7 linked regions of the Sus scrofa genome follow. The protein of the gene in region 1 purifies or fractionates together with the protein of each later gene. This does not show direct contact. Links are inferred from orthologs where the notes say so. Each region holds a gene or a part of one and is shown in the gene's direction. Other genes may lie near its edges.

Region 1 (3,500 bases):
CCTACCTTAAGTTGAACAAGGCAACACTGCCTTCATGTTTTAGTTCTCATAATATAAATGAACATCCTTGGACCAGATTTCCCTGGTGGCACGGCAGGTTAAGGATCCGACATTGTCACTGCTGTGGCTCTGATTGCTGTGGCACGGGTTTGATCCCTGGTACAGGAACTTCCTCATGCTGAGGACGTGGCCTAAATAAATAAATAAGTGAACATCCTTTTCATAATTTTTTAATGCCACATTTCCCACATTTTTGTGCTCCCCCCACCCTGAGTATAAAATTGCTCCTAGGTGTAGTGCTGAGGTGCTCTCCTGTGTTCCTAAGAAGAATGATGTACCTTGCAGAGGAAAAGTATACTGGATAAACTTCATAAAGGCATGAGTTACAGTGCCGTTAGCCATGAGTAAATAAGGTGTCTTTAAACAGTAACACAATACAACAAAGTTATTGTTTGATCCATCGATGACAAAGTTATGAGTTCCTCGCAGGAACTTAACCTTGAGTTTTCCCTGGGAACAGTGGTCACAGATTCACTAATTCAGTGTTTGCAGCAATTGTATGGAACATAACTACCTTAAGTAATGAGAATTTACTGTGTTTTACTCTTGTTGGCAACTATGTGTCCCTTGGAAAAAATACCCTTGTACAATAAAACTACTACATGATGAATAATACTTAAAATTTTTATAGTTTTGCATCTCCCTTGTATCATGAGAATCTGAATTTGTTAGTCATTTGTTAGTCAATATTTCCAAGATTTGGCAAAGTTAATGAAGGTTTTTGTTTTTCTTACATTTTTTTTTTCCCCCTTTGCTCAGCTTCAGATAAACCAGTCGATCATTTTCTGTAACTCCTCTCAGAGAGTTGAATTGCTAGCCAAGAAGATTTCTCAACTGGGTTATTCTTGCTTCTATATCCATGCTAAAATGAGGCAGGTGAGTATAAAACTTTGAACTTGCACAGGTTTTTAAATAATCTTTTTCTAAGTGTTTTTTGAATTTTTGTTTTGCTTTGATCCTCTTCTCAATGCCCTGAGTTTAAGAATAAATTATCCCTTAGGCAAAGGATCCTTAATTTTAACCTTTCTATGGGTTTTTTATTTTTAGTTTTTTAAATTATAGTTGATTTACAGTGTTTGGTCAATTTCTGCTATACAGCAAAGTGTCTATGATTAGGTTTTCTAACTATAATAGGGGTAGTAGTACATCTTATAGGGTTGTTAGGAAAACTGAGATTATATATGAGTAAATAGTGTGTAAATGCCAAGCATAATAGAAATGTGAGATTTTATTCCTTTAATCTTAGGTTTGTGCTACTATTTAATATAGTAATTACTAGCCACATGTGGCAATATAAATGAGTTAAAATTAGACAATATTTAAAATTTAGCTTTTCAGGAGTTCCCATCATGGTGCAGTGGTTAATGAATCCAGCTAGGAACCATGAGGTTGGGGGTTTGATTCCTGGCCTTGCTCAGTGGGTTAAGGATCCGGCGTTTCTGTGAGCTGTGGTGTAGGTCGAAGACTTGGCTCGGATCCTGCGTTTCTGTGGCTCTGGCAAAGGCCGGCAGCTACAGCTCCGATTAGACCCCTAGCGTGGGAACCTCCATATGCCAAGGGAGCGGCCCTAGAAGAGGCAAAAAGACAAAAAATAAAAATAAAAAGTAAAATTTAGCTTTTCAGTCACACCACATTCCAGGTGCCACAATACATGTAACTAGCAACAGCCAACGTTTGGAAAGTATAGATACAGAACATTTCCATCATTGCAGAAGGTTCTAATTTCTCTGTATACCTCCTCAGGTACCTTTTTTGGGGGGGGGCACACCTGCAGCATATGGAGGTTCCCAGGCTAGGGGTCCAACGCCAGACCCTCAATCCGCTGAGTGAGGCCAGGGATCAAACCCTCATCCTCATGGATGCTAGTCGGGTTTGTTAACTGCTGAGCCACAATGGGAACTCCACTTAGGTACATATTTTTTTCTTTAGTGTTTGTCTTAAGAAGAGGATGCACTCTCTTGTTGTAACAGAGAAATTCAAGACTACAACAAGACAACATTATGCGTGTGCGTGCTAATAGTATTATGAAATTTCATGACAGGAAAGCAGTTTCTGTAGGCTGACATTAAGAACTTAACCCACATTTGGTTTCCTAAGAACCTTGATATCATGGATCAGATACCATAATATAGTCACCTAATATTAAAATTATCACAAGATGAGTTCCCTGGTAGCCTAGTGGCTGGTTAAGGATCTGGCTTATTAACTCCTGTGGCTTGGGTCACTGCTGTGGCACAGGTTCGATCTTTGGCCCGGGAACTTCCACATGCTTCAGGTGCAGCCGAATTAATTAATTAAATGAAATTATCACAGGAGATGAATTTATTAAGCTGAAGAGAATATTTCAGAATGGAAGGACACTGCATTGAAAGACCAATTTGCTGAATGCTGTATTTATTGCTTTTGCTAGAGTCATTATGTATGTGTTTTCATTTTTGTTTTTTCATTAGGACGTAGTGACTTTTAGTGTCTGTATATATTAACTGAAAAGATAAATAGTAGCTGTTTTAGTCAAGCCAGATTTCTGGCATCCTCTGATACATTTTAAAAGTAAATATAACAAAAACATGCTGGGGAGTTCCCATTGTGGCTCAGTGGGTTATGAACCCAACTAGCAATTAAAAAAAAGCTGAAAATTATCACTTAAAATCCACTTCAGCAAAGAAGAGAAATACCTTTAAGAACTGAGAAAAATGCTACATATAGATGTGAATAGGTATGTGTTAGTTGCTTATTAATTCCCAGGGGAAGAAAATAATGATTCATTTTTTTCACGTTTTTATTTTTATTTATTTTTTATTTTTTTGTCTTTTGTCCTTTTTTTTCAGGGCCACACCTGAGGCACATAGACGTTCCCAGGCTAGGGGTCTAATTGGAGCTATAGCTATTAGCTTACATCAGGGCCATAGCAGTGCCAGATCTGAACTGCTTCTGCAACCTATACCACAGCCCACGGCAGCACCAGATCCTTAACCCACTGATCAAGGCCAGGGATTGAACCCGCAACCTCATGGTTCCTAGTCAGATTCGGTTCTGCTGTGCCATGACAGGAACTCCTCGCCTTTTATTTTTAACTTGTATGTATTGAGTTGGCTTTTGTCATTTATTTTATTTATTTCTTTTTAGGTCCGCATCTGTGGCATATGGAAGTTCCCAGGCTAGGGGTCGAACAGCAGCTTCAGCACCACAGCCACAGCAACTCAAAATCGGGGCTGTGTCTGCCACCTGCACCATAGCTTACAGCAATGCTGGATCCTTAACACACTGAGCGAGACCAGGGATTGAACCTGTGTCCTCCTGGGTGCTTGTCACATTCATTCCCACTGAGCCACGGCAGGAACTCAGCTTTTCTCTTATTTAAACAAATTCAGGTAAAAATATTTGAGTAGGATAAAAAAACAATGGAAATTTTGGGGCTTTGTGTGAGTTTTAATCAAATC
Region 2 (4,075 bases), on another chromosome or scaffold:
TCTGGAGTGAAGAGAGAGAAAGACACTGGAAGTTTATCTGGGATTGAAACCACAGACTCATCACTCCTCCACTCTATTTTCCACACTGCAAAGGGTAATCTTTTAAAAATTGAACCGGTTCTATCCCCGGCCCAGTACAGTGGATTAAGGATATGGCGTTGCCTCAGCTGTGGCGTAGGCTGCAGCTGTGGCTAGGATTTGATCCCATATGCTGCAGGTGTGGCCGTTAAAAAAAAAATAAAGTTCATTAAAAAAATGTAAATCTGGGAGTTCTTGTGATTCAACAGGTTAAAAATCCAACTAGTGGGAGTTCCCATCTTGGCTCAGCAGTTAACAAACCCGACTAGTATCCATGAGGATGCTGGTTCAATCCCCGGCCTCACTCAGTGGGTTAGAGAACTTGGCATTGCTGCAAGCAGTGTTGTAGCTCACAGATGTGGCTCTGGCCTGGTGTTGCTGTGGCCACTGCTTTGAGGATTATGCTCATGTCTCCTTAATATCTGGTCCCACGTTACTTAATTTTCCAGTTTCCTTTTTCAACCTCCTCCCTCTTTAATTTCATACTCCAGACATGCTGAAGTTTTCCTAACTTGTCACATCCTATGCCCCCTGCCTAGAAACCCATCACCCAGTGCTGAATTAGATGTCATTCCTATCTACTCTTAGTGCCCCGTGCTTCACCTAAGAGATCTAATTGTCTGAATCTACCACTAGTTTAAACTCCTTGACAAGGGCAGGAAGTAATTTCATTACAGTTATATCGAAAACACCTAGCCTAATGTCCTAATGACCAACTAATTTGAATGAATGAAGGCTACCTTCCTTGTCGAGTGGGGTGGAGGATTTTGAACTAGACTCTAGGAACTTTGGCCTTCAGACAGTCTCTTTGCTGCTAGTTTAAGAGTCCCGTTCCAGGGCGTGGAGAAATTACTATATTGAAAACCATATAATATAATTTAGAATTAGGCAGATATTTATCTCCAAACTGCTATCTTTAACGCCTATCAGGCTTTTATGTAAATCAGATAAGCTCCGAGAGTAGCTCCCCACGAAACTACCACCAGCTTCAGCGAAGTCCCGGGTCTACTCTCGGGATTTTTTTTTTTTTGCACTCAAGACTCCGCCCACAGGCCCCCGAATGGCGGAAGAACTGCACGCTACGTCGTGACTTCTCACAAGACTGCGGAGGCATCCCGACGCTACGCCGGCGGCGTAGGCGGGGCGGCCGGCTCTTCCTTCCTCTCTGCTGCTTCGGCTCCTCCCCCAGCGCTTCACACGCTCATTGTGAAGCGACAGCGGCCGGCAGTCTTCTGGGCTGCTTGAGATCTAGAGACCCTAAATCCTTGGCGCGCGTGAGCGCCCGCGCTGCTCCTCTCCCACTCCAAAGGCTAGAGGCGCGAGATTCACCTTTCTTTATTCCCTCCTCTGTCGCCCGGAGCTAACCGCCCCGGTGCGCTCGGACATCTCGCGCCGACGCTCCCTCCTCCCCGCCCCTCCCCCTTCGGGAGCTCCCGCCCGGGCGCTCCTCCCCCTCCCTTTTCCCCGGCGACGCGCACGCGCGCCAAGCCGGCTCGCGCCCTCTCGCTTTCCTCCGGCCCGCGAGACCCCCTCCCCTTCCGCCTCGCGGCGCTTCCTCGCGCCGCGGTCTTCTCTATCCACCCCCGACACCGCGGGGCTCGCCCCCGCCCGCCAACGGCGGGTCCCCAGCTTCCCAGTCCACCTCGCTTCCCGCGCTCTCCGGCGGGGCCCCAGCCCCGGCCTCCTCTCTCCCTCCCTTCCCCCTAATTCCCTTTCCGGACGCTGCCATCATGTTGAAGCCTCAGCCGCCACAACAGACCTCCCAGCCCCAGCAGCCGCCCCCCACGCAACAGGCCGTGGCCCGACGGCCTCCTGGGGGCACCAGCCCTCCCAACGGCGGCCTCCCGGGGCCCCTGGCCTCCACCTCGGCTCCCCCAGGGCCTCCCGCGGCCGCTTCCCCCTGCCTAGGGCCTGCAGCCGCTGCCGGGAGCGGACTCCGCCGGGGAACCGAGGGCATCTTGGCGCCACAGCCGCCGCCGCCGCAGCAGCAACATCAGGAGAGGCCAGGGGCAGCGGCCATCGGCAGCGCCAGGTGAGAACGTGTGGGTTTCCGGGCGCCGGAGCCAAGGTGGCCGAGACCTGTACACCGCGCGAGGCAGACCTCTAGCCTCTGGCCACCTTTGAGGGACGCCAGGGGGAGTGGGGAAATCCCGTGGAGCTGGGGGTGGGCCCTTCAGGTTCTAACAGGTCGGAGGAAAGCCTCCGCGGCTAGCCACCGGGACATTGAGGGTGCGCGCTCAGCTCTGAGCGACCAGTCACTGCTCGGGGCTTGGGCCTTAAGGGCAGGCAGGGCGCATCCCGCCAGCGGCGTCGGAACGAGTTGGGGGGGTGAAGAGGTGATAGGGGTCCCCGGCTCCATTACCACGAAGGGTCTCGCGGTCCGGAGCTTCAGCCAATGGGGAGTCAGCTGCGGGAAGGGGTCCCTGGCCGTAGCCAATGGAGGGGGGCGCGCGGCCCACAGTTTGGCCAATGGGGAGGGAGGGACTTGGGAGCGAGTTGCTACCTCCCCCTTCCCAGTCCGGCCAGTAGGAATGGAGCAGAGTGGGCGGGGGGGACGGAAGGAGGGACAAAACTGGGAGGACTGCGGGCCGGGAACCTCCAGCGCGCGCGCGCGCGCTTCCCGTACGTGCGCGCGGATGCTCAGTCTTATGACCCGGCCATTCTCGAGCCCCGGGTAACATAGAGGGCAGCTGCCGGGAGTGTGCTTGGACGGGTTCGCCGGGTGTTCTTGGATGAGTGGTGGACACCCCACTGTGTTTCTTCTGTTTGTGGGTTTATAGAATTGAGAGTGGAGGTACACGCAGGCGCAGTGGGTTGTGATCGCGGGAGGGGGGATTTTGAAGAGGCCCTAGGGCTTTAGTGCGCAGGCGCAGACCGGGCGAGGCCTCCCGGTGGAGAGCTTTTGCGGCTGCGCTGTCCCCCAGCCCCGCCAACGGCCCCCTGATCGTCCTCTTCAACCGACGGTTACATCAGCCAGCGAGGAGCAGGGTTACCAGGCGATTGGTGACCCCTTCCAGAGTGGGTAATAGGCTGAATGAGTAAAGAGATCGAGAGGGTGGATTGTAGAGGGAGTACCCCTCCTGCCAGGGTTTAGGGCGCAAGGCTACGGGAAATGATGGTCTTTTCTGTTGGGGAGGTAATAAATGCATGCCTGATCTAGGTACTCACTCTGTGAGCTTCTATCTTTACATCTGGGGTGGGCTGTTAGTTATCAAATATTATAGCATTTGTCTGTTGGAAGCATGCAGCCCTGGCCCTCTTGGAGAAAGTGAAAAGGTTGTGTTGAATTGGCTTTTGACAACCCTTGATGACTGAGGTCTGTTTTGCTGGCAATTGGAGGAAATGGCTTTTAATGTCCTTCTTGCTCTGAAGGTGAGATCTTGAAAGTAGTGTTGATTAATTGGTTTGTAGCCTAAGTGATTATCTTTACATGATATATGGTTCTAACATACCAGGTCCTTTGAAATCAATGGTACAAAAAGGATTGAGCATGAAATAACTAGCTCCTTGTTTCCTTTTCTTATAGAGGACAAAGCACAGGAAAGGGACCCCCACAGTCACCGGTGAGTGCCTTCTCCCCCTCACCCAAGGCACAGAGACCTAAAAGATGCACGGATGGGGATGTAGGGCAGATAAGGTGCAACAATAGTCAGATTGGTTGGGAATAGCAGGGGGCCCAGCACATATAAGGTGGATATTAGTGGACTGTGGGCATTTAGAAGGAAGGTGAGATGTTGACTGGCTGTTCCTTTATTTGTCTCTCCTTTGTTACTGACAGGTGTTTGAGGGTGTCTACAACAATTCCAGAATGCTGCATTTCCTTACAGCTGTTGTGGTAAGTGGGTACCTAAACTCTTAGGAATGTAATGCATCCGTTTGCTGGAGGCACTCGTCCTTATTTTCCCGCTCTTTCAGGGCTCTACTTGTGATGTAAAGGTGAAGAATGGTACCACCTATGAAGGTATCTTCAAGACACTGAGCTCAAAGGTCAGTGTAC
Region 3 (4,296 bases), on another chromosome or scaffold:
CCCCAGCCACAGCCACTTGGCATATGAGCGGCGCCTGGGATCTACACCACAGCGCATGGCAACGGCAGATCATTAACCCACTGAGCGAGGCCAGGGATCGAACCGCGTCCTCATAGACACTAGTCTGGTTCATTACCGCTGAGCCACGACGGGAACTCCCAGCTTCCACTATTTCCTCTGGCCCTTAAAGCAAGAAATACTTTACACCTTGATCAAGTACCCATTTCAACACATCTAAGTGAAATAAACGCTTCACAGAGCAACGGCACTCTATGCGGTGAGCTCTCTGCTATTTCTCTCATTCCGGTTCATTTCTATAAAATGCTGGTCACCCTCCCTGTTTTTCAGAACCCAATGCTGATCCCTGATCTGATGTCAGGAGGGACAGACAGACAAAAAGCAAGCGCCCACGTAAGCGCTAATGGAGTAAAGGGCTGTGCAGGGCAGAAGACGGTCTGGCGAACTGGAAAGGGACGGTCTGCTTCTCCATTTTGCCGCGAGGCCTCTGGGCTGGAGGCAGCAGCGAGCAGGCCAGGTCAGGCGGCCCTTGGAAGCCCTGGCGGGGCGGCTGGGATTTATTTTAAGGGACAGGGAGCGCCACCGCCGCTTGGGGGAGGGGCGGGATTCAATGAGACGATGCGCTCAGCACATTATATTTAGCGGCTGACGCGCCGGGAAGCGCTAGTTCCCCGCAGTTACTACTGCGCCCCACCGGCGGAGGAACCCCTTCCAGCCTTCACCACACCGGCAGGGACCCCCGGCCCCTGCCTTTGCCCCCCCGGACTCCCGATCTTCACTCCACGGATGGTGACCTCGTGGGCAGGGAGTCTGACCCGCTGCCTTCACCCCCGCCCTGGGCAAGAGACCCCTGGGGCCTCATTTTCACCCCAGGCGCAGTGACTGAGATCTCCGTGGGCAGGGACTTCGCTCCCCGGAGAAGGGACCAACCCCCAGCCTTCGCCCCTGGGGGAGGGGAGAATTGGGGCACACGCCCCAATTTCTCCAGCCAGGGCGGGGGAAAGCTGCCGGGCACACTTTCGTAGGGGGGAAACCTAAGACCCGGGAAAGGCGTCTACAAGCTCCCGGAGCCTAGGTCCGGAGCAGACGAGCGCGCAGAGCGCGCGGGGCTTCCCGTCCCCGCCCCTCTCCACACACACACGTGCGGCTCGCCCCCCAGCCCCGTCCCCGCCCCGCGCACGCGCACTCCGCCCCAGTCGATTCCCACCCCTCCCCCCAGGCCCGCCCGCCAAGTCTCGTGCTCCCACCCCGCGCGGAGCCCGACGGGAGCGGGCCGAGAAGTGGGGCGGAGAGCAGGGGAAAGCCCGCCCCGGCCGGCGGCGCTGGGTGCGCAGGCGCGGAGCGCGGGCCCGCCCCCAAGCCGGCGGCGCGGCCATATTTAAAGGGAGGCCGGCGCGGCGAGCCAATGGGCGGCGAGCATGCGGGGGCGGGGCGTGGCGGCGCAGGCCCCGGATGTGGCTGCTGCGGCCCCTCCTCCCCCGCGCGTCTCTCACAGACCCCGGCCGCGCGCTGCCGCCGCCGCCGCCGCCGCTCGCTCGTTCGCTGGTACCCGCGCAGGCCCTCGGGCGGCGGTGAGGCGGCGCCGAGGCACAAGGGCGGGCGGCGAGGCGACCGCGCGGAGGCGAGCGGGCCGGGCCCGGCTGGCCGCCGCCATGAGCGGCTCCTCGGGCACCCCGTACCTGGGTAGCAAGATCAGCCTCATCTCCAAGGCGCAGATCCGCTACGAGGGCATCCTCTACACCATCGACACGGACAACTCCACCGTGGCGCTCGCCAAAGGTAGCGGCCCCGCGGCCGCCCCAACCGCCTGGCCCCCGCCCCCCGCCAACAGCCGGGCCTGCGCCGCCGTCCTCCCCGCCCCCGGCGCGCCCCCTCCCCCGCCCCGCTTCCCGGGCCTCCGCGCGGCAGCCGCCGCGGCCCCTCGGGGCTCGGCCTGCACAAAGGGCGCCCCGGCCCCCGGTCCCCGGCGGCGGCGTTATTGTGCTCGGCCGGCCCGCCCAGCCCGGGCTTGGGGTGGGGAGGTGGGGCGGGTCCAGCTCCCGCGGCGCCGCCTCCTCCGCGGCGCAGCCCACCTCTGCAGGTGGGGGGCCGGCGTTGCCCGGCCGCCGCCTCCCCACCTGCCCGCGGGCGGAGGGGCCAGCTGGCGCGGAGCACCCGGCCCCTTCGGGGGAGGGGCGGGGCGGGGGGCCTGGGAGTCTCCCTGGGGCCTCCCCAGAAGCCTGGGGTTGGGAAAGCCCGACTCCTGCAAGCTTTCTGGAACCTATTAAGCGGCTGGGGCCTTGAGCCTGAACAAATACCACGTCTTAATGGATTCTCCTGCCAGGGTAGGAGCGTCGGCTGGCGGCTAGGAGCGCCCATTTAAATCGCTTTCCTGCCCTTATTCAGACGTTCCGCCTGCGGATTCACCGTTTTGTGGCCGACCCCTCCCTGCACGGGCTGGTGGCCGCAGCGAAGTCCCTGGGAGACTAGAGGAAGATGGCTGTGTTGAGGCTTTCCCGGAGTCCAGTCTTTCTGAGGGTGTGGAGGCGGGAGGTGGCCTCAAACTTTCTTTGTCTTCCTTCGGGGAAGGGGGCTGGTGTCATTCCCCGCCTTTTAGGAGCACCGAGGGCAGCCCGGTCTGCAGAAACCCTGTTTGTCTACCCGGGCTTGTCGGGCTCGAGACGCCGTGCTGGGCTTTTAAGGCTCAAGGCACAGCACACAGGCTTCTATGTCAGAGGGAGTCCCAGGCCTTCGGGTCGCAGTTGGTTGCCAGCTCTGGGAATGGCTCGTCCTAAAGCCTGGTGGTGAAGTTTGGATAGACTGCGTTGGTCCGGGAGAGTGTAGCTTTATGAGGGAACGTGGTCGTGTGTAGTCTTGCCTTTTGACTGCATTTGGCTTGAGATCCTGGCTGGAGAAACGGAGGCCCGGAGTAGCCCCTGGTCCTCAGCAGGAGTGTGTTCAGACTAGGTAGAGGCTGCCTGGAGCCCAGCTCTGCCCCAGAGACCCGAGAAGGAGATGCTTGTTTGGGCTCCTTGAACCCTGCCGATTGGGTCAGTAGCCTGGAAACGCGGCCCCCACCCCCACATGGGCGCTGGCGCTGCGGGGCCCCGTTCACAGCCCCTTCTCCCGCTGTTTCCGTCGCGGCTCCTCCCAGGCTGGTTGTGGGCAGAAGGGCAGGGATAGCACGACGTGCTGGCTCTTCTCAGAAGGAAGCAGACTCCTCGGGGGTGACGTGTGGTGAGGTTTCTGTCTAAAGGCAGCCCTGGGGCTGTTGAATCTGCACAGTCAGATGTGCACGGGGTCTGCAGAGCAGCTGTTGTTTGGCTGGGAGCGCTGGTGGCCGTCTGTGTTGGGACGTGAGAACGTTGAGCTCCGTGCGACTGTCAGGCTCTGAGTTGACTCGGCACCTTTTGGAGCTTTGCCCGCCGGGGTCGCGTAGGGATCGTCCACTGGGCGGAGCCGCTGCGGGCGTGTCGGGTGGCGAAGCCGGTGCCTGGGGGCCAGGACCGGCTCCGGGAGGACAGCGACTTAGCCCCTTTTTCCTCAACTCCAAAGTGAGGTCCTTCGGCACTGAAGACCGGCCCACGGACAGGCCTGCCCCGCCGAGGGAGGAGGTTTACGAGTACATCATCTTCCGGGGGAGCGACATCAAGGACATCACGGTGTGTGAACCCCCGAAAGCCCAGCACACGCTGCCCCAGGACCCCGCCATCGTTCAGGTGAGTGCAGCACCTGTTCTGTCCGTCGTGGGCCTTGTCTCGGAGGCACGCTGGTTTCCAGGTGGAACTCGGTGTCGTCTGGCCAGAGGGCTCCTCTCGAGGAGCAGCTCTTCGAGAAAAGGGCTTAAGTTTTGTCTGGGCTGTTGGGGGGGGGCAGTGTCTTTAGTCGGGCAGCACCCGCGCTGCCAGGACGGTGTTTGTCCTTTGGGGTCGGCTGAGCCTGAAGCCCCTGTGGCATGCTGTGAGCGGCAGAGATGCTAGCGGGGACTTGGGACAGCAGGGTTGGCTCTCCCAACTCCGTCCAGCTGTTAACGCGGCGGCGTGGGCACTGAGTCTGCAGCTCCCACCACAGGCCTGCCTGCTGTGCCGCGTGCTTGCCCGGGATCGCTCGGGAGTCCAGGTTCATGCTTTCATGACTTGGACATTTGGATGCTCACTGGCTCCTTTGCGGTTCGCCCTGCAGGAGGCTCCTGGGCTGGGTGTCCCCCCCCAGAAGGTGGGGGCTTGTGCTCTGGGGGCACCTGGAGGAGCCCCAGGCCAGATGGAAGGTTTGGAGTGAGGGTCCTTGGGAACTTGAGGA
Region 4 (4,194 bases), on another chromosome or scaffold:
TGACAAATGAATGCTACTATTTTACCCCTGAGGATCCCATCAACACAGGACATGTTTGCAGACGACCAGGTCATGTCTATGAACACTACCCAAAGTTTACCTTAAAAATGTCATACTTTGTCACTTTTGGGGAGATCTAAAATTACCCTCAACGTAAAAGCGTCTTTAAAAAAATGTCATATACACGCTTTTCTAACAGACATTAACCAAACTTCCTAAACCTAAAATAGAACCAACTTAACAACTACTGTGTGCAGGAGCGCACAATTTGTTAAAAGAGACGCTGCAAATCATGTCATCACGAGTTCAGACTTCTGAATGGGGTGAGTGGAAAGGAAATGTGTTCCCAAAGCGGACTGAGCGCGAAAGATCCCTACAACGTCCGGGCTAGTGTTTCCTAAGCATTTGGGTGAGCCTGAAACAGGGTCCGGACTAATAACACCCGGCAGAACGACCGGTCTCTCCAGCTGAAGGGACAGGGGCAGGTGGCTTTGTGTCCCAAACTATCGTATTATTCTTAGCCACTTGCTCCGGTCAACAGCTGGGTTTTAAACCTTCTTGCAGTCCTCCCCAAAGCCCATATCAGACTGCGAAGAACAGAGCTGGACTTTAGGTTCCTCACTGCCAGTGGAGACACTGGCGCAACGGGAGGGGCAGGCCCGCGGCCCGAGGGCGCGGGAGACAGGTCAGGCCACCTCTGCCCTGGATCAATCACTTCCCGGGCGCTATCACCCTCGGACCACCACCAAGCGGCCTGCGGAGCTTCGGGCGCAGCTGCTGTCAGCAGGGCCGAGCCGCTGCGCTGGTGGCTGCGCTGGGGGCGTGAGGGAATATAACTCGGGGGTTTCGGCAGAGGAAGGGGAGGCACGCCGGCAAAGGGGGAGGCGGCGTGTGGACTCCCCGCCCACAGCGGGGCGCGGGAGGTGACCTCCCGGGCCCCAAGTCCTCCGTCCCGGTTCCTGCCCGGACCCTTCCCAAGTCCCGGACCCGTCGCTCCTCTCACCGTCTCGGCTTCTGTGTGCTGGGGTCCGGCACTCTGACCCCCCATAACCCCGCGGAGGAAATTCATCTTGCCGTTCAGCCACCGGCTCTGCCTACCCCTTCGGGAAAAAAAAGATAACTTCCTCTGGTCTCCGCTGGGCCTGGCCTCCGAGCCCGCACTCTGCACTCCGCGGCCGCCGCCACCACCGCCTCCTGCTCGGCGGCCGCTCCAGCCCCCTAAGCCCGGAAACAGCCGCCGCCACCAGTCGAGATGCGCATGCGCGGGGACGTGGCATTACGTGGCGGCTCGAAGGGCGAAGGCAAAGGGAGAAAGTAGGCGAGCGGAGGCCCGCAGCCCGGGGTCGTCAAGCCCCGCCCACTGCGCAGGGCCCGCCTCCCTCCGCAGGGACACGCCTCCTACTCCCGCCCTTCGCGGGTGCCTTCTGCTGGCCTCAACCACCCACGTGGTCGGAGCCCGGCCCTGCCGGCTGGAGAGGATCCGAATAGTGTACGCGTTTTGGCTTGCAGGGTTTTTAATTGTCACCGAGTGGGGTTTACTGTAGGCTGTCAAATCAGGAGTCGTATTTTGTTGAGTGGAAAGTGAAATTTACCTTCGGCCGACGTGACAGGTAAGGGGTCCCGACGCCTGGGAGGGTTCATTCTGGTTTTGCGGTGTAGCGGTACCAGCATTGTGGCCTTCTCATCCCCATAAATTGCATTTCTTTACAGGGCTTTGTTTGGTGGTAGAAAGGGTGCCAGAACCCCCTCATTCCACTACCACGGGAGGGCGCATTTTTCAGCTCTTGCTCTTAAACCCGCTAAAAGGAATTCCTGGATCTAAGCACCAGGTACACCGCTCTTTTCAAGTGGTGTGAAGCGAAAACCTATCTAAAGATAGGAAATACATTGATCTGCAGTGTCAGACTGGCAGCTAGTAGTATGATGTTTTATTAACTCTAAACCCTATATTTTCAGTGTTTTTTTTTTAACATAAAAATGTCATTTTTCAAATCGTCATGCCTTGTTTCTTTCGAAATGAGAGTGCCAGGTACACATGCTTATGGAGTGGTCTCGTAAATGTCTTGAACCTAAAAAGCGCAGGGTCCAGTTAGCTGATTGATTCATACACCCCTCCAACTGCAGGTCTCCCCAGCCTCCCTTAAAGAAAGAAAAAAAAATCAATATGCATCTTCTATGTGCCCGACCCCACTCCTTAGTACTGCTCTCCAAAGCATTGCCTAAGCTAGAAGGAGGAAGCTGAGAGGAATCTGAAACTCTGGGTTTCACCCACACATGTCCTGCAGTCAAGTCCTGTCACTCTATTTATAGAATATTTCTCAAATAGGTCCCTGCTCTCCATCCTCTCTGCCTCTGACATAGTTTATGTTCTCATCATTTTTCACCAAGATCATGGCAATAGCTTCCTAACTAGTTTGTCTGCATTCAGGGCATGGCTTCCTTCCAGTTCAGTCTCCAGTCTATGCCTGGGTGAGCCTACCAATGACAAAACATCTATGCATGTTGGTCCTCTTCTTAATATCTTCCAATTGTTGCCGATTCTCACCATGATAAAATCCAAACTCCTTAGGTTGGTATACAGGCCTGTTGTGTTCTGACTCTTGCCTATTTTTCTAGCTTATGCCTCCCCCGTGTACTTCTGATACCTGCCTGGATATATCCTTCCCTCCCTCCACTTCTTCAAGGAAACTCTTGCTAGTTCCTTAAGACCTAATTCTGGCATCTTCTGAAAGCTTTCCCTGAAATCCAGATACATAGGTATATGCTAGCACTTTGCAGGTGTTAATAAGTGGGAAGCTCTCAGTAAATGCTTGTTGAAGTGGACTATTAAGGGCACAGCTATTTTATTCATTTTTATGTCTCTGTGGCTTAGCAGTGTCCAATAAAGGTGGTATTGATGGATACATGAAGAAAATATTAAAGGATATATGAATATTATGCTGAGGAGGAGAGGTTCTTTTTGCAGCTGTAAGTACAGTGGGATTGTAGATAACCCATATCACAAAGGCTGCCGTGCAGTTTCCTTTCCTAGGGCCAGGGTTATAAGCCTGGGTGACTTGGAGAGTGGGGGAGATCATGCTGCCAAAAATACTGTACACAAAGCATTGTCCTCTGCTTCAAAACCAGACACTTGACATTTTGCTTCAGCCATTTTCCATGGGGCATTTTGTTGCAGCCTAAGAAAAGTAACCAATAAATGCTCAGCATTTTTATTACCAAGTAATATGTGCAAAGAACTTCACTCAGTCCCTCAGCCTCACTCCTCCCTGAGCCTCTCCTCACCTCCTCCCTGGACCTCACTCTACCCCATTATCAGGGATACAACTCTGAGATGGAGTGGGGCTTATGGGTGTCTCTTAACATGCATTATTTGGTAATAAAAAGCACCTTGACATTTTAGCAGAATTGTTTTAAGTCACCTGCCTTTTCAAAATGCCCTGCTTTGTTTTAAATTTTGAGTGTAGTAAGTCACTAACAGTGTACTGAGTCTTCCCGTCATTTGACCTGTTTTTCTTCTCTAGTCCCCCCCTGGTTAGGAAGGATGGACGGTTTGATACAGAGGAGATGAGTGTGGAGCCCCCAGACTTCCCCTTGACCTCATAGTCTTGCCTTTCTCCTGATGTCTGAGAAAAGATGGAGCTACTCGATGCTTCCAGGGTCAAGAAGAGGCAGAGAGGGTACAGTGGCTAATTTTTCTCCCAGTTGGGGGTCTGAAAGGGGAGCAGAGACGTCATTACAGAGCAGCCATGGAAGGGACTCCAAAGAGAAAGGAGATTATATGCAAATCCACTTCCAGTGATTTTTATAAAGAAAAGTCAGGGACCGTGTCTTATTCCTATTTGTACCCTTTAATCATCTAGCATAATTCCTTTAATATGGCAAATGCTCAAGAACCATTTCTTAAATAAAGGAAGAGAAAAAGTGAAAAAAAAAATGTGACTGCCTGACTTAATGCCATTATACTTCTCACTTGCATAAATCTATAAACATTCAGTATAAGAATGCCATGAGGAAGTTCCTTTGTGGTGCAGTGGGTTAAGGATCTGGTGTTGCTGCAGCCGTGGTGCAGGCTGAAACTGCAGCACAGGTTCGATCCCTGGCCTGGGAACTTCCACATGCCACAGGCACTGCCAAAAAAAGGAATGCCATTATATAGTTCAAAATCGCAGAGTTTCTGCTAAGGCACAGAGGGTT
Region 5 (4,021 bases), on another chromosome or scaffold:
TGTGCCCCATAAATCCCAGGCCAAGCAGAGGGCAGCCTAGATGCTGTACCAGCTGCTTTGGATATCATTGCCCAAAGGGGAGTGCCTTGAATAGCCAGCCTCCAATGCCCACAGATCCAGGCCTAGTTGAGTTGGAGTATAGATTTAGAGCTGTAAAAGAACGCAATCTGAGTTTGAGTGATTCAGGTTCTAGGATTTCTCACCTCTGAGACCTCTGCAAGGCATCTCTAGGCCTCTTCCTAGTCCTTCCCTTACCACACACCCACCCACCCCTTCACATTATCTTCAAATCCCAAGAAATCTCTAATACTGAGGCAGTTTCTGCTCCTCAGTTTGGGGAACAGGACTTGCCTAATACAAATCTGGCCCTTTAGCCCTGAGGCCTTGGTGGTGTAAAACTGGTAGCAGGGTAGCAACCACAGGCTAGGACCAATCCAAGGACTTGGGCTGGTGTCCTGTAGGGGTTTTAGGATTGGTGAGGGCACCACAGCTTTGCTTGACCTTGAACACCACCTCCCTCCCTCCTGCACTCTGGATGGAAGCCAAGGACTTAACTCAGACCCCCACTTGTTGCCTGGCTACCCTGGGCACAGAGCTGGATGGTGTGCTGTTTGGAAAGACAGCATACTCAGGAGATTTCAGTGAGACGGATTTCTAGGCTGCTGTGTTATTTGGGGGGTGGAGGAGGTTGGGGAGAGGCAGAAACCTGCTGCCTCTTAAACCACCCTGTATAAAATCGGCAATACAGCTTCTTCCATGTACCTGTGCCTGAAATGTCTGCAATAAAGAGGTGTTTATATTACTATGGTTTACTTTCTTTTTGCCCAAGGGTGCCAAGACATGCAGGGGGATGCTGGGGGACATTAAGGAGTGATGTGATGTTTGTGGAGACAATCTCCCCTGCCCATGCAATTCCTGGGTCCAGGATTTCTCAGATCCCGTCAGGCCTTGGGTTACAACCACACGCTTCCTGAAGGGGAAACCGAGGCTTCTGTCAATCCAACTTGTTCCTGGGGCATCTGAGTGATTCACCTTGGCAACCGAATTGACTTGGTCCTAGGCCCATAGGGAGTGGATTTGGACCAGGTGGGATATCCTGAGGCGATCAGAGCTTTGGGCGGTCCGGTAGCTGGACATTTTGCTCTCCTTCAGCCCTGCGGAACTCCTCCCCCTCACCCCGACCCTATTAGTCCCGGGGCGGGACCGCGGTAGGGACGGGCTTCAGGAGGGTGCGTGGCGGCCACCCCCAGCCCGGAACCTTTCTTCTCCGCCCAGGGCAGGTTCCGGGAGCCGAAGCTCGGGCGGGCCGGAAGTGGAGGCGGTTGGTGGGGTTGGCGGGGCTCAGGGACGCGGCGCGGGCGGCGGTTTGCGAGCTTCAGGTGGACGGAGTGTGGTGACTGGCGTCCCACTGTCTGGCCCTGGCTGGGTTGTGCGCCCCTGGACGGTGCGCGGCGTCGGCGGAACGAACGCGGTGCGGACCGGGCGTCCGCGGCTGGGCCCATGGCCTCCTCCTGCGCGAGCATCGACATCGAGGACGCCACGCAGCACCTGCGGGACATCCTCAAGCTGGACCGGCCCGCGGGGGGTGAGCTGGGAGAGTGGGGGTGGGCCCTCGGCGACCAAGCAGAAGGGCGGCGCGAGCCTCGACCACCTTCATGGCCCAAGGGTCCTTGAGGACCGGCTCTTCATCCTTTCTGCCGGCGAGGGCGACGAGGGTGGGAGCGGCACATCCCTGAGCGTGCTTCCCAAAGGGCGCAGACCCCCGTGTGCAATCCTTCCCTGTCCCGGAGTCCGGCCGTTCTGCCTCGTCCTTCAGCGTTTTGGCTGAAAGTGAGGCCCCTTCTCTGAATCCGCAGAGCCCCTTAGGTCTCCTGGCCCCAGGGTCTCTAGTGTTCTTGGGACTGGTCCGGGTTTCCTACCCTTTTTGCCCTAGTTCAGACGCTTAGTCTGGGCTCTGTATGCCAAATTCTGGGTCTAGATTTAGGCGCTTATGCTGAGGAGCCGCTGATCCCCCTCTGCACCTTGCCCTTCCTTCTTGAACAGACTCCAGGCCTGAAACCCATTTTCAGGAGGAAGGTGACCAACCCCAGTTCTGTGTCCTCTCTGGCGTTAAGATATATCACCGAGCTCACAATCCTGATTGGATTAGGCTACAAAGATCTGCAAGCCCCAGTTTATTTCCATTCATTTAAACTTTGCAGTGGTGCTTCACAGCTGCTCCTGCCCTCAGTGAGCCCCCTGGACACAAGAGCTAATGAGGTGTAATATAATGCTCTTGTCTCTGAAAGAAGGGTTTTGGGACTGTGATGGGGAGACGGTAGGTGGAGAGGGGGCTGGAAAGTGCCTAAGAACAGATCTGAGAGAGGAGACAATGTTTAGGCTAAGTCTTGCATCTTGGACAGAGGCTTGGATGTCAGAAAAAACATTCTACAAAGAGGAAATGACACGTGTGACTACCAAAGTTGCCTGGCAGGTTCAGGGGCCTGTGAAAAGCTGTAGTGGTCGAGAAACTGGTAGGTGATGGTGATGTGGATGGGCAGTGGCCAGAGCTGAGAATTGGTGTGTCTTCAGATCCTGTTCTTAAACCTGCTGGAAGGCCCAAACTGACTCCTTTTGGAAGCATGCACTGGTGCCCAGTCTTGGATTTAAGGACCTTTCCCTCCTATAGAAAATCCACATGCTGCCTACCACTGAGTCCTTTTCCCCAGGCCTGGAGTGCCTGCTGCCTTTACTCATAAGCTTGGCTTGGGCCTCTCATGTCAGCTGCTGTGCAGACTGGTCTCCCCAAAGGTTTGGTAGAGCCTGGTGTGGGTAATGCTGTGTAGTTTGTTTGTTTGTCCTCATGGTAGCCTGCTTGGGAGGCAAAGTGGTCAGCTTACCCTGAGCAGCTAAGGTGGCTCTAATGTAAGTGAAGAGGCCTGTGGGCTTTCCTCTTAACTCCTTGTTTATTGATTGGTACTTGATTTCCCACTTTGCCAAGTTACCCTTGCTTGTCTCTACTCACTGGAGAACCATGTCAGACCCCAGGCTCTTTTGTGATGAAAAACTTGCCATATTCCTGAATAGAAAGCCCTAGTCTCTTTGCCACCTGGGAGTTTTGGAGGGGTGTCAGAACCTATGCGGGTACTTGAATCAGTCAATGGCAGACAACTGAAATGCTGTCTCTCCTGACTCACACCCTACCCCATAATTTCTCTCCTCTTTGTCCAGCTCCTTCATGTCCATTCCTCTAGGGTGGGTTCTTCTGAGCCATTTCTGTGTGAGGCAGTCTCCTTCCTTTCTTATTCTCACGTCTTATCATGTCTTTCCATGCCTTAGGAGCCCAGCCCCTCTTCTCCAGCCCCTCCTCTACTTTGGTCTAAGCCCTGGTACCTCTCACCTGAATTCTCAACTCTCCTGCATGCTACTTTAGAGCAGTCAATCCTCTGGCATAGCAGACCAATTCACTTACCCATTTAAAACTCTTATGGCTCTTATTACTACAGGAAAATCTAAGCAACCAGCCTCATACATGAGACCTCTGTAGCCTTGTTTTCCCTCCATCCTTCCCATCTTTGTGTGTTATTGCCACATTGGCTCTGGAGTTCCCATTGTGGCACAGTGGGATTGGTGGTGTCTCTGAAGCGCTGGGATGCAAGTTTGATTCCCCAGCCCAGGACAGTGGGTTAAGGATCCGGCATTGCCACAGCTGCAGTGTAGGTCACAACTGTAGCTCAGGTCTGAACCCTGGCCCCAGGAACTCCATATGCCTTGGGGCAGCCAAAAAAGAAAAAGAAAATAAGTAAATAAATCACGCACTAGCTCTGATGGCACCTCTTCTGTAAAGTCTGTCCTGACCCTTCCTTTGCCCTCCCTCAAGTACATAGAGTCCCTCTATGCTGACCCAGGGCTGCGTATTAATTGGCCTTAAAGAGGCCATGATAACTTGAGGACTTATACTCCTCCCCTAGATAGAAAAGCCCCATGCTCATCCTTGGTCCTAGCATACATCGGGTTCACCATCAGTGTTTATGGAATAAGA
Region 6 (3,235 bases), on another chromosome or scaffold:
GTGCCAAAATATGATCTGTGCTGAGATTCACAAAAAATTGGCTTTGGGTTCTTATCTTTAATGAACATATTTTTACTAAAACTAGCCCATCATATTTCTTTTGAGGTTACTCTGGCTAGTGAAATTCTTTCTAAAGGCTGGAATGCTTTGAAGGGAGTTAGTTTTTCTACAGTAGTTTAGGTAATCCTATTTACTAGATTTTATAAAGCAAAGATGAAAGATCCTTGAGCAAGGAAGCCCAGGGAGCAAACTGAGTTGCTTCTGCTATCAGCTGAGAGAGATTGTGGTCATTTGGCCCTGAAGATAGAGCCCTGACCTTGCCACACACCTTATCCAGCCCCTTACTCCAGCTTTGGTAAAAATCTGTGCCCACAGATCACTGTGCCAGCTGCAGGGCAGTATCATGGTGAGGTTAGCCAGATGATGGCCTTGACCTAAAGTATGTGTATGTGTGCGATTGAATAGTTCTGTTTATGCTTTTAAGCTGCCTTTTCACAAAAACCCAGTGACTCTTTTAAAAGTAAATTAAAGCTAATTAGATTTTGATATAATGTGTACAGCTGTGTTAATGTGAATAAAATTCTAGTCTGGTTGGTAAGCAGTAACTTCACATTTATTTTTTCAAGAAATGGATGGTTTAAATGGAGTTGGATATAGAGATTGGCATTGAGCATCAGAACAGCTCAGTTGATCAACTGAGAGTTGTCAAGGCATAGAGGAGTGATCAAGATCATCACACACGTCTGTTATACACACTCCTCTTTCTTTCACTTTAGTTTCCACTGGCTCCCTTGCTCAACAGTATGCGCACCCTAATGCTACCCTGCACCCACATACTCCACATCCTCAGCCTTCAGCTACTCCCACTGGACAGCAGCAGAACCAGCATGGTGGAAGCCATCCTGCACCCAGTCCTGTTCAGGTAAGGAGGAACTCAGAGGTCTTCACCAGAGCTTCCTCATAATATTTGCTGAGTGTTTTTTTAGTGTCAGACAAGATGCTGGGTACCACGTGATCAAAATACCTAGCAGCGTATAGCTTTGCAGGCTGCGTCCCTAGGGTTTAAGTCACATATTGAGAATAAGGTGATTGGTTAAGTTCTGGAAGCTTACCAACACTGAAAAATCTAATTTAACATAAAGTAAGGAATTTGCTTGGGACTTTTTAAAAATTTAATTCCTAATGTTTATATGATGAGGTGTGGGGTTGGTTTTTTGGGGGTTTTTTTTGTTTGTTTGTTGTTTTTCTTGTTAGCTTTTGTAATCATGTTTGTTTGTTTGTTTTTGCTTCTTTTTTTCAGGGCCGCACCTTGGCATATGGAAGTTCCCAGCCTGGGGGTTGAATCGGAGCTGCAGCTGCCAGCCTACCACAGCAATGCCAGGTCTAAGCCACATCTGTGACCTACATCACAGCTCATGGCAACACAAGATCCTTAATCCTCGGAGCAAGGCCAGGGATTGAACCTGCATCCTCATGGATCCTAATTGTTACTTCTGAGTCACAATCCAAACTCCTATCATGTTGTTAGCAGGACACTTAGGGAGCTCTTTGATATGGATCAGTTCCCTGGGGCAATAGTCTTATTTTACCACCACTTGGTTGAGGGAGTGTAGGCTGAGAATCAGGCTTTTCCCCCCCAGAAAGGGATGTCTCTGAGAGGCCTCTCACCCCAGCCTGCTCTTACCACTCTGTACTTTCTCTTGTACTTGCCATTGCCCCTCCTTTTATAAGGATGGGCCTGAGTGGAGCCTGTTTTCATGTGTAAAACTCAGCTTTGTGTGTGACGCTTAACTGCTTTTCTTTAAAGAAAGTGATTTTCTCAAGTCTTTTGTCATTTTGCAGCACCATCAGCACCAGGCTGCCCAGGCTCTCCATCTGGCCAGTCCACAACAGCAGTCAGCCATTTACCATGCAGGGCTCGCTCCAACCCCACCTTCCATGACACCTGCCTCCAATACGCAGTCGCCACAGAATAGCTTCCCAACAGCACAACAGACTGTCTTCACGATCCATCCTTCTCATGTTCAGCCGGCATACACCAATCCACCCCACATGGCCCATGTACCTCAGGTAAACCTGCTTTAGCCAACTTTCTGTGAAGACCAAGTAGAATATGAAGGTTATCAGATAAACAGCAAAGAGCCAGATGCTCTTCAAGCTAGGAAACCTTGTGTGTGATACCATTTGCTTGTCTCCCTTTTCCTGCTCAAATACATGTGATCTGGCCCTAAATGAATGTTTGTGTGGCTTTGTAATGGGATCAGTGAAGTTGCTAATTAGTCAGTCTTTTAACATTTCTCAATTGAGACTTTAAAAATATCTTTGACTCTGGAATGCAACTTAGTTCTTTTCCTTGCTGTGTCTGCTTTGTTATGTTTATATAACTTCATTGTTATATATACGTATATATACATATATTCTTTCTCTCTGTCTTTCTCTCTGTCTCTCTCTCTCCCTCTCTCCCCTTCCCCCCCCCAACCCCTTCTCATACACACACACAGACACACAAGTCTGGTAAAGAAGATGGGATTTCACAAATTCTCAACTCTGAGGTGATTACCCTGGTCCTGTCCGCTTGAATGTTAGTCACATGAGTTCCAGAGAAATCTTTCCACTTGTTTTCCCTGGTTGTTCATACATCTGCTTTGACCATATGTTGTACTTCTTGAAAGGGCTTGGCCTTGTACATTGGTGCAGTGTAACTTGAAGCTGGAAGCTCCCAGGTGTTGTTCCCATTTTTCTTAAAGAGCAGCCCTGGAAGCACTTTGGAGCTCACCTCCAGTGTAAGCTTGTAAAGGTTGAAAGGTGTGTTTTCTGTCTGCATTAGCTGCTGACAAAAGTCCAATGCAATCCAGGGCCAAGTTGGATTGTCTTAATGAGGAGAAGGAGCTGCACTGAAGTTGGGCTCTAATACTGTCCTTTGATGCCCTCCCTGGAGCTGTTAAGGGTGAATCGGCTGTATTTGATGTCTCTTTTTGCTGCTTTCATAACAGAACTCTCTTAGGCGGGTCTAAGCTAGACTGCCTCACTGAACTCTGTTTCCTGTCAAGCAATGCACCACTGAGGCTCTGGCATGGTGGGGGCTGAAGATGTTGCTCAGTTGGAGCTAAATCTCAGAAGGCGACCTTGTAACTAGAATCCCACAGCTCTGGGAAGTTGGGGGCGTCCTCCCCAGCAAATGTGTAGGGTCTATAGTGTGGACTGCAGTGGATGATTTGCTTTTGATGGTGGGGAG
Region 7 (3,934 bases), on another chromosome or scaffold:
TTTAAGACACCGGAGAAAGGAGTTGCGAAACTGCACAAGAATTCGTGGTGCAAGGACTAAATTTCGTAGCCAAGTTTAGTCTTCAAGGGGAAAGAGTGAGTTCGGCTAGCGGAGATAACAGTTCTCCAAAGAGACTTCTGAAAACAGGCTGCCAAGGCACCTGGACAAATGCTTTTCTGGTCCTGATCCTCTAAGGAGGTGGTGTCACCCTACGGCGCACTCAGCCTCGATGACCTTGCTGCCCACGGCTGTGCTGCCTTTTTTGGCTCCCTCACTCCACACGCTTGATGTGCCTGAGCCCTAAAAATACCTCCCTGGTTGAACCTCCCTAATAAGCCTTCGGTTTAAAGAAAAGAGGAAAAAAAAGCCTTCATCTCTGAGACACATAAATCACAGCCCTGACCTGCTGTTGACTCAGCGGGTGACGTGCCGCTGAAAGTGGCGACGAACTCAGCCCCTTTCGATGACCTGAACTTTAACTTTTTTCCCCTCCACTCGGTGCCTATCGTATGTCGTGAAGACCGCCAAGCAACCCGAAGACGGTGTTGGACGCTGGAAAAAGTGCCCAGGAATGTCCATTTCTCCCAGCCTAAGCTAAGCCTGGGACTCTCCAAAGCCATATCCTGTGACAATCACAAGGCTTTTCTCCGCCCCGTCGGTGACGGAAAACTCGTGACTCGAACCTCAGCGTCGGGCGGGCGCAGAGAAGCCGGGGGCGGAGCTACAGGTTCGGATCGCGAGGAAGCCCCCGACGGGTGGCGCGTGCGCAGTCTCTCGCCACGGGACCTCCTTCCCGCCGCCGAGACTAGGAAGCGGGACGCCAAATCTGTCCCCGCGCAGCCGCCGCCGCCGGGCGCGGAGCGGGGCGGCCGCCCTCCCCGAGGCGCGCCTGCGCACGTTCCCACGCACGCTCCGGCGTACGGCGGCGGCCAGGGGTCGCGAGCCGGTGGAGGACCCGCGCGCGGAGGAGCCCGGAGAGTCAGCGCTTCTTCCCTCCCTCCCCCATTCCCCTCCCCGCTCCCTCCCCCCCCTCCCCAAGAATGTTCCGCTACGAGGTGAGCTGTTGCGACCGGAAGTGACCCCTCCCTCCCGCCGGCACGCGCCCCCCTCTCTGTTTCTCTCACGCTCAGCGCGTCGGTCCGCGCCCCTCGGGGGGAAAAGGGGGGGCGGAGGGGCCGGCAGGACCGAGCAGAGTGTGTGGGCTCTGGGGTCGCGGGTTTAGTCCAAGGGCTGTGAGCTGGCTTCGTGGGGGCGGGACTGTCCTATCAGTTGCTACTGAGGAGAGTTGACCTCTGTTTGGGGGTGGGGAGGGCCCGTTAAGTGCGGTAACCAACCACCCCCCACCCCACCGTACCCCCGGTGGGGCTCGGCATTGAGAGCCTTGCACCCACCCGGTGGCACTTAAGGCTTAAGGAAGAGCCACAGGGTAAAGCCCAGGGACGCATTTCCCGCCTAAGACCCAGAACTATCATCTCGCATTAATTACACATAGCCCCTTACTCGCAGGCAACCGTCAGGTCACCCGGGCCTGCACTTGCCCTTTGACTGGGGCGGAAGACTGTTTACTGATGAGAGCTCCGAGTGGGGAAGGGGCGTGTCCAGCAGAAGTTTTTTCTGGGCGAATGGAGGGAAACTGGGGGTTCGTGATGGTCCCTGGAATACAGCAACAGAGTTATGACGCTACCACTGAGTCTCTGTATGACCTTTAGCGACTGCTAATCACTAGACAGAGTTTCTGGATTTGTAGAAAGGGTGGGTCTAGACGATCCCTTTCCAACCTAAAAAGCAGTGATTCGGTGAAGTAGATCTTTGTGATTTGGGAATGCTTCTGGAAGTTGCCTCTGATGTGGATGCAGTTGCACATGCTTGCTTTGTCTAAGTTTGGAAGGACCTAAGATGGCCCTTTGGCCTAACGTTTCTTTTGGGAACAGCCTAGCTGAGAAATAGCCGGCAAGGTGTTATCACAAATGTGCCTGCCAGAGAGTGTGGAATTCTGATTCTGAGTATTTGAAAATTGGGGCTGTGTATTCTTGCTATTTGATGGGAATGGCTCGAGATCAAACTGACTATATGTAAACATGGAGAGACATGCTGAGATGTGGTGGGGCAAAGTTCCCCAAAGAAAAGAAAACTTGGAAAAATAAATGAAATGGGGGGGGGAGTGTTTAAAGTAGAACATACCCAAGTGATATCTAGCATTGTTTAACAATACACAATGTTTGCTTCAATCTTTTTCTCCTTTGATCCTCACTACTTGCTGAGGCAGGTGGTGGTGTCCTTGTATTACCACCTAAGAGATTGTGGCTTAGAGCCTTAATACAGGCTGAGACACAGTAGGTGCTCAGGAGGTATTGAATGAATTCATCAGAACGGCTGTGATTTGCCCAAGTTGATATCACTTGTCAGAGTTGAGACAGAACTTAAACTTGCCACATCCCGGCCTTTCAAGAGTTTACTTAATTGTGATTGAAATCTTAGCTTTCTGTTTTATCACCAGTTTTGGGCCTGTAGAAAGAAGGAAGAGGAAAAATGATGAGAAAGCTTCAAAAGGGAATAATAAAAGGGTTGAAAAGATGACATGAATATGGGGAAGATAAGAATTTCATTGAAAAATAGATGTAAAACTCTAGCAAAATGTAAAGTGTTTGCTTTCATTTGTCATTATTGTAACCAGTGATGGAAAGGAAGTTACAGGCCTAATTTCTTGGTTGCATGAGGAAATGCTATTATTAGATTCTTGCTGAAAAGAGAAATGGAAATTTGGGGGAAGAGGTTAAATGAAATAAGGAATAGGAAAGAGAAGCTGAAAGAAACGATTTGCAAATCTTCCAATGTCGGGAAAATTGGGGGATGGAAAAAAATGCCATCTGTACAAAAAGTCATAATGAAGCTATTGTGTTGATTGGGAAGGTAAGAACATTTTTAGAACATTTTTTAAGTGAGGTTGTGAACTTCACGAATTATCAGTCTCTCTCTCTCTCTTAAAGTCTTTGGAGGATTGTCCTCTGGATGAAGATGAAGATGCGTTTCAGGGGCTGGGAGAGGAAGATGAAGAGATTGATCAATTCAATGATGATACATTTGGGTCAGGTGCAGTTGGTAAGCGATATTAAGTACTTTTGTCTTCCTCTGGTCTCTTTTTGCCTCACTTAGAAAATCTGGTGTTTTCTAAGCCTTGTCTTTTCCAGCTTTATGATCTATCGTTCTAAGTTGACACTATAAGAAATTCAAATGGTTAGACAAGTGGACATTTTATAAAGGCTTAAAATAATCCTAGAAGAAGGACTTTTTTTTTTTTTTTGGTCTTTTTAGGACCGCACCTGTGGCACATGGAGGTTCCCAGGCTAGAGGTCGAATTGGAGCTATAGCTGCCAGCCTACGCTACAACCATGGCAACACAGGAACCAAGCCACGTCTGTGACCCACACCACAGCTCATGGCAACACTGGATAGAGAAGGAAGTTTTTTGTTTTTTTTGTTTTTTTTCATGAAACACGTAACTTAAGGAAAACTAGTGCATTAGGAGAAAACTAAGATTCATATATGTATGTTTGAAAATTTTTATATGGCCTGACCCTGCTTTTGTCCTATAGTAAGTATATTTAATTACATATTTTATTCCAGGAATTTGGTAGTAAGAGGTCTTTGTAAGTTAGAAAGGTGTTGTGCAAAAATGAAATTTTCTGGAGTTCCCATCGTGGCGCAGTGGTTAACGAATCCGACTAGGAACCATGAGGTTGCAGGTTCGGTCCCTGCCCTTGCTCAGTGGGTTAACGATCCGGCGTTGCCGTGAGCTGTGGTGTAGGTTGCAGACGCGGCTCGGATCCCAAGTTGCTGTGGCTCTGGCGTAGGCCAGTGGCTACAGCTCCGATTCAACCCCTAGCATGGGAATCTCCATATGCCTCGGGAGCAGCCCAAGAAATAGCAACAACAA

Evidence for each region.
Region 2: the proteins of DDX6 (region 1) and ATXN2L purify together in Homo sapiens (affinity purification with mass spectrometry; 6 studies listed by BioGRID and IntAct, with this or other methods). This does not show direct contact. The link is inferred for Sus scrofa from reciprocal best matches to the Homo sapiens genes DDX6 and ATXN2L.
Region 3: the proteins of DDX6 (region 1) and LSM14B purify together in Homo sapiens (affinity purification with mass spectrometry; 4 studies listed by BioGRID and IntAct, counting the BioPlex papers as one, with this or other methods). This does not show direct contact. The link is inferred for Sus scrofa from reciprocal best matches to the Homo sapiens genes DDX6 and LSM14B.
Region 4: the proteins of DDX6 (region 1) and G3BP2 purify together in Homo sapiens (affinity purification with mass spectrometry; 3 studies listed by BioGRID and IntAct, with this or other methods). This does not show direct contact. The link is inferred for Sus scrofa from reciprocal best matches to the Homo sapiens genes DDX6 and G3BP2.
Region 5: the proteins of DDX6 (region 1) and EDC4 purify together in Homo sapiens (affinity purification with mass spectrometry; 4 studies listed by BioGRID and IntAct, counting the BioPlex papers as one, with this or other methods). This does not show direct contact. The link is inferred for Sus scrofa from reciprocal best matches to the Homo sapiens genes DDX6 and EDC4.
Region 6: the proteins of DDX6 (region 1) and ATXN2 purify together in Homo sapiens (affinity purification with mass spectrometry; 6 studies listed by BioGRID and IntAct, counting the BioPlex papers as one, with this or other methods). This does not show direct contact. The link is inferred for Sus scrofa from reciprocal best matches to the Homo sapiens genes DDX6 and ATXN2.
Region 7: the proteins of DDX6 (region 1) and PATL1 purify together in Homo sapiens (affinity purification with mass spectrometry; 6 studies listed by BioGRID and IntAct, with this or other methods). This does not show direct contact. The link is inferred for Sus scrofa from reciprocal best matches to the Homo sapiens genes DDX6 and PATL1.

What each region holds. Positions count from the first base shown.
Region 1 is NC_010451.4:46,036,337-46,039,836, reverse strand, and holds part of DDX6 (probable ATP-dependent RNA helicase DDX6), read left to right. Parts: intron 1-819; coding exon 820-936; intron 937-3,500.
Region 2 is NC_010445.4:18,504,817-18,508,891, forward strand, and holds the start of ATXN2L (ataxin-2-like protein), read left to right. Parts: upstream 1-1,275; 5' UTR 1,276-1,808; coding exon 1,809-2,110; intron 2,111-2,737; exon of another isoform or gene 2,738-3,450; intron 3,451-3,604; coding exon 3,605-3,641; intron 3,642-3,856; coding exon 3,857-3,913; intron 3,914-3,993; coding exon 3,994-4,065; intron 4,066-4,075. UniProt on the Homo sapiens protein: Involved in the regulation of stress granule and P-body formation.
Region 3 is NC_010459.5:61,552,460-61,556,755, forward strand, and holds the start of LSM14B (protein LSM14 homolog B), read left to right. Parts: upstream 1-1,496; 5' UTR 1,497-1,670; coding exon 1,671-1,797; intron 1,798-3,552; coding exon 3,553-3,716; intron 3,717-4,296. UniProt on the Homo sapiens protein: mRNA-binding protein essential for female fertility, oocyte meiotic maturation and the assembly of MARDO (mitochondria-associated ribonucleoprotein domain), a membraneless compartment that stores maternal mRNAs in oocytes.
Region 4 is NC_010450.4:71,360,675-71,364,868, reverse strand, and holds the start of G3BP2 (ras GTPase-activating protein-binding protein 2), read left to right. Parts: upstream 1-1,394; 5' UTR 1,395-1,610; intron 1,611-4,194.
Region 5 is NC_010448.4:28,488,206-28,492,226, forward strand, and holds the start of EDC4 (enhancer of mRNA-decapping protein 4), read left to right. Parts: upstream 1-1,221; 5' UTR 1,222-1,500; coding exon 1,501-1,585; intron 1,586-4,021. UniProt on the Homo sapiens protein: In the process of mRNA degradation, seems to play a role in mRNA decapping. Component of a complex containing DCP2 and DCP1A which functions in decapping of ARE-containing mRNAs. Promotes complex formation between DCP1A and DCP2.
Region 6 is NC_010456.5:32,667,848-32,671,082, reverse strand, and holds part of ATXN2 (ataxin-2), read left to right. Parts: intron 1-776; coding exon 777-922; intron 923-1,842; coding exon 1,843-2,070; exon of another isoform or gene 2,071-2,501; coding exon 2,502-2,552; exon of another isoform or gene 2,553-3,235. UniProt on the Homo sapiens protein: Involved in EGFR trafficking, acting as negative regulator of endocytic EGFR internalization at the plasma membrane.
Region 7 is NC_010444.4:11,826,961-11,830,894, forward strand, and holds the start of PATL1 (protein PAT1 homolog 1), read left to right. Parts: upstream 1-1,134; 5' UTR 1,135-2,850; coding exon 2,851-2,910; intron 2,911-2,987; coding exon 2,988-3,099; intron 3,100-3,934. UniProt on the Homo sapiens protein: RNA-binding protein involved in deadenylation-dependent decapping of mRNAs, leading to the degradation of mRNAs. Acts as a scaffold protein that connects deadenylation and decapping machinery.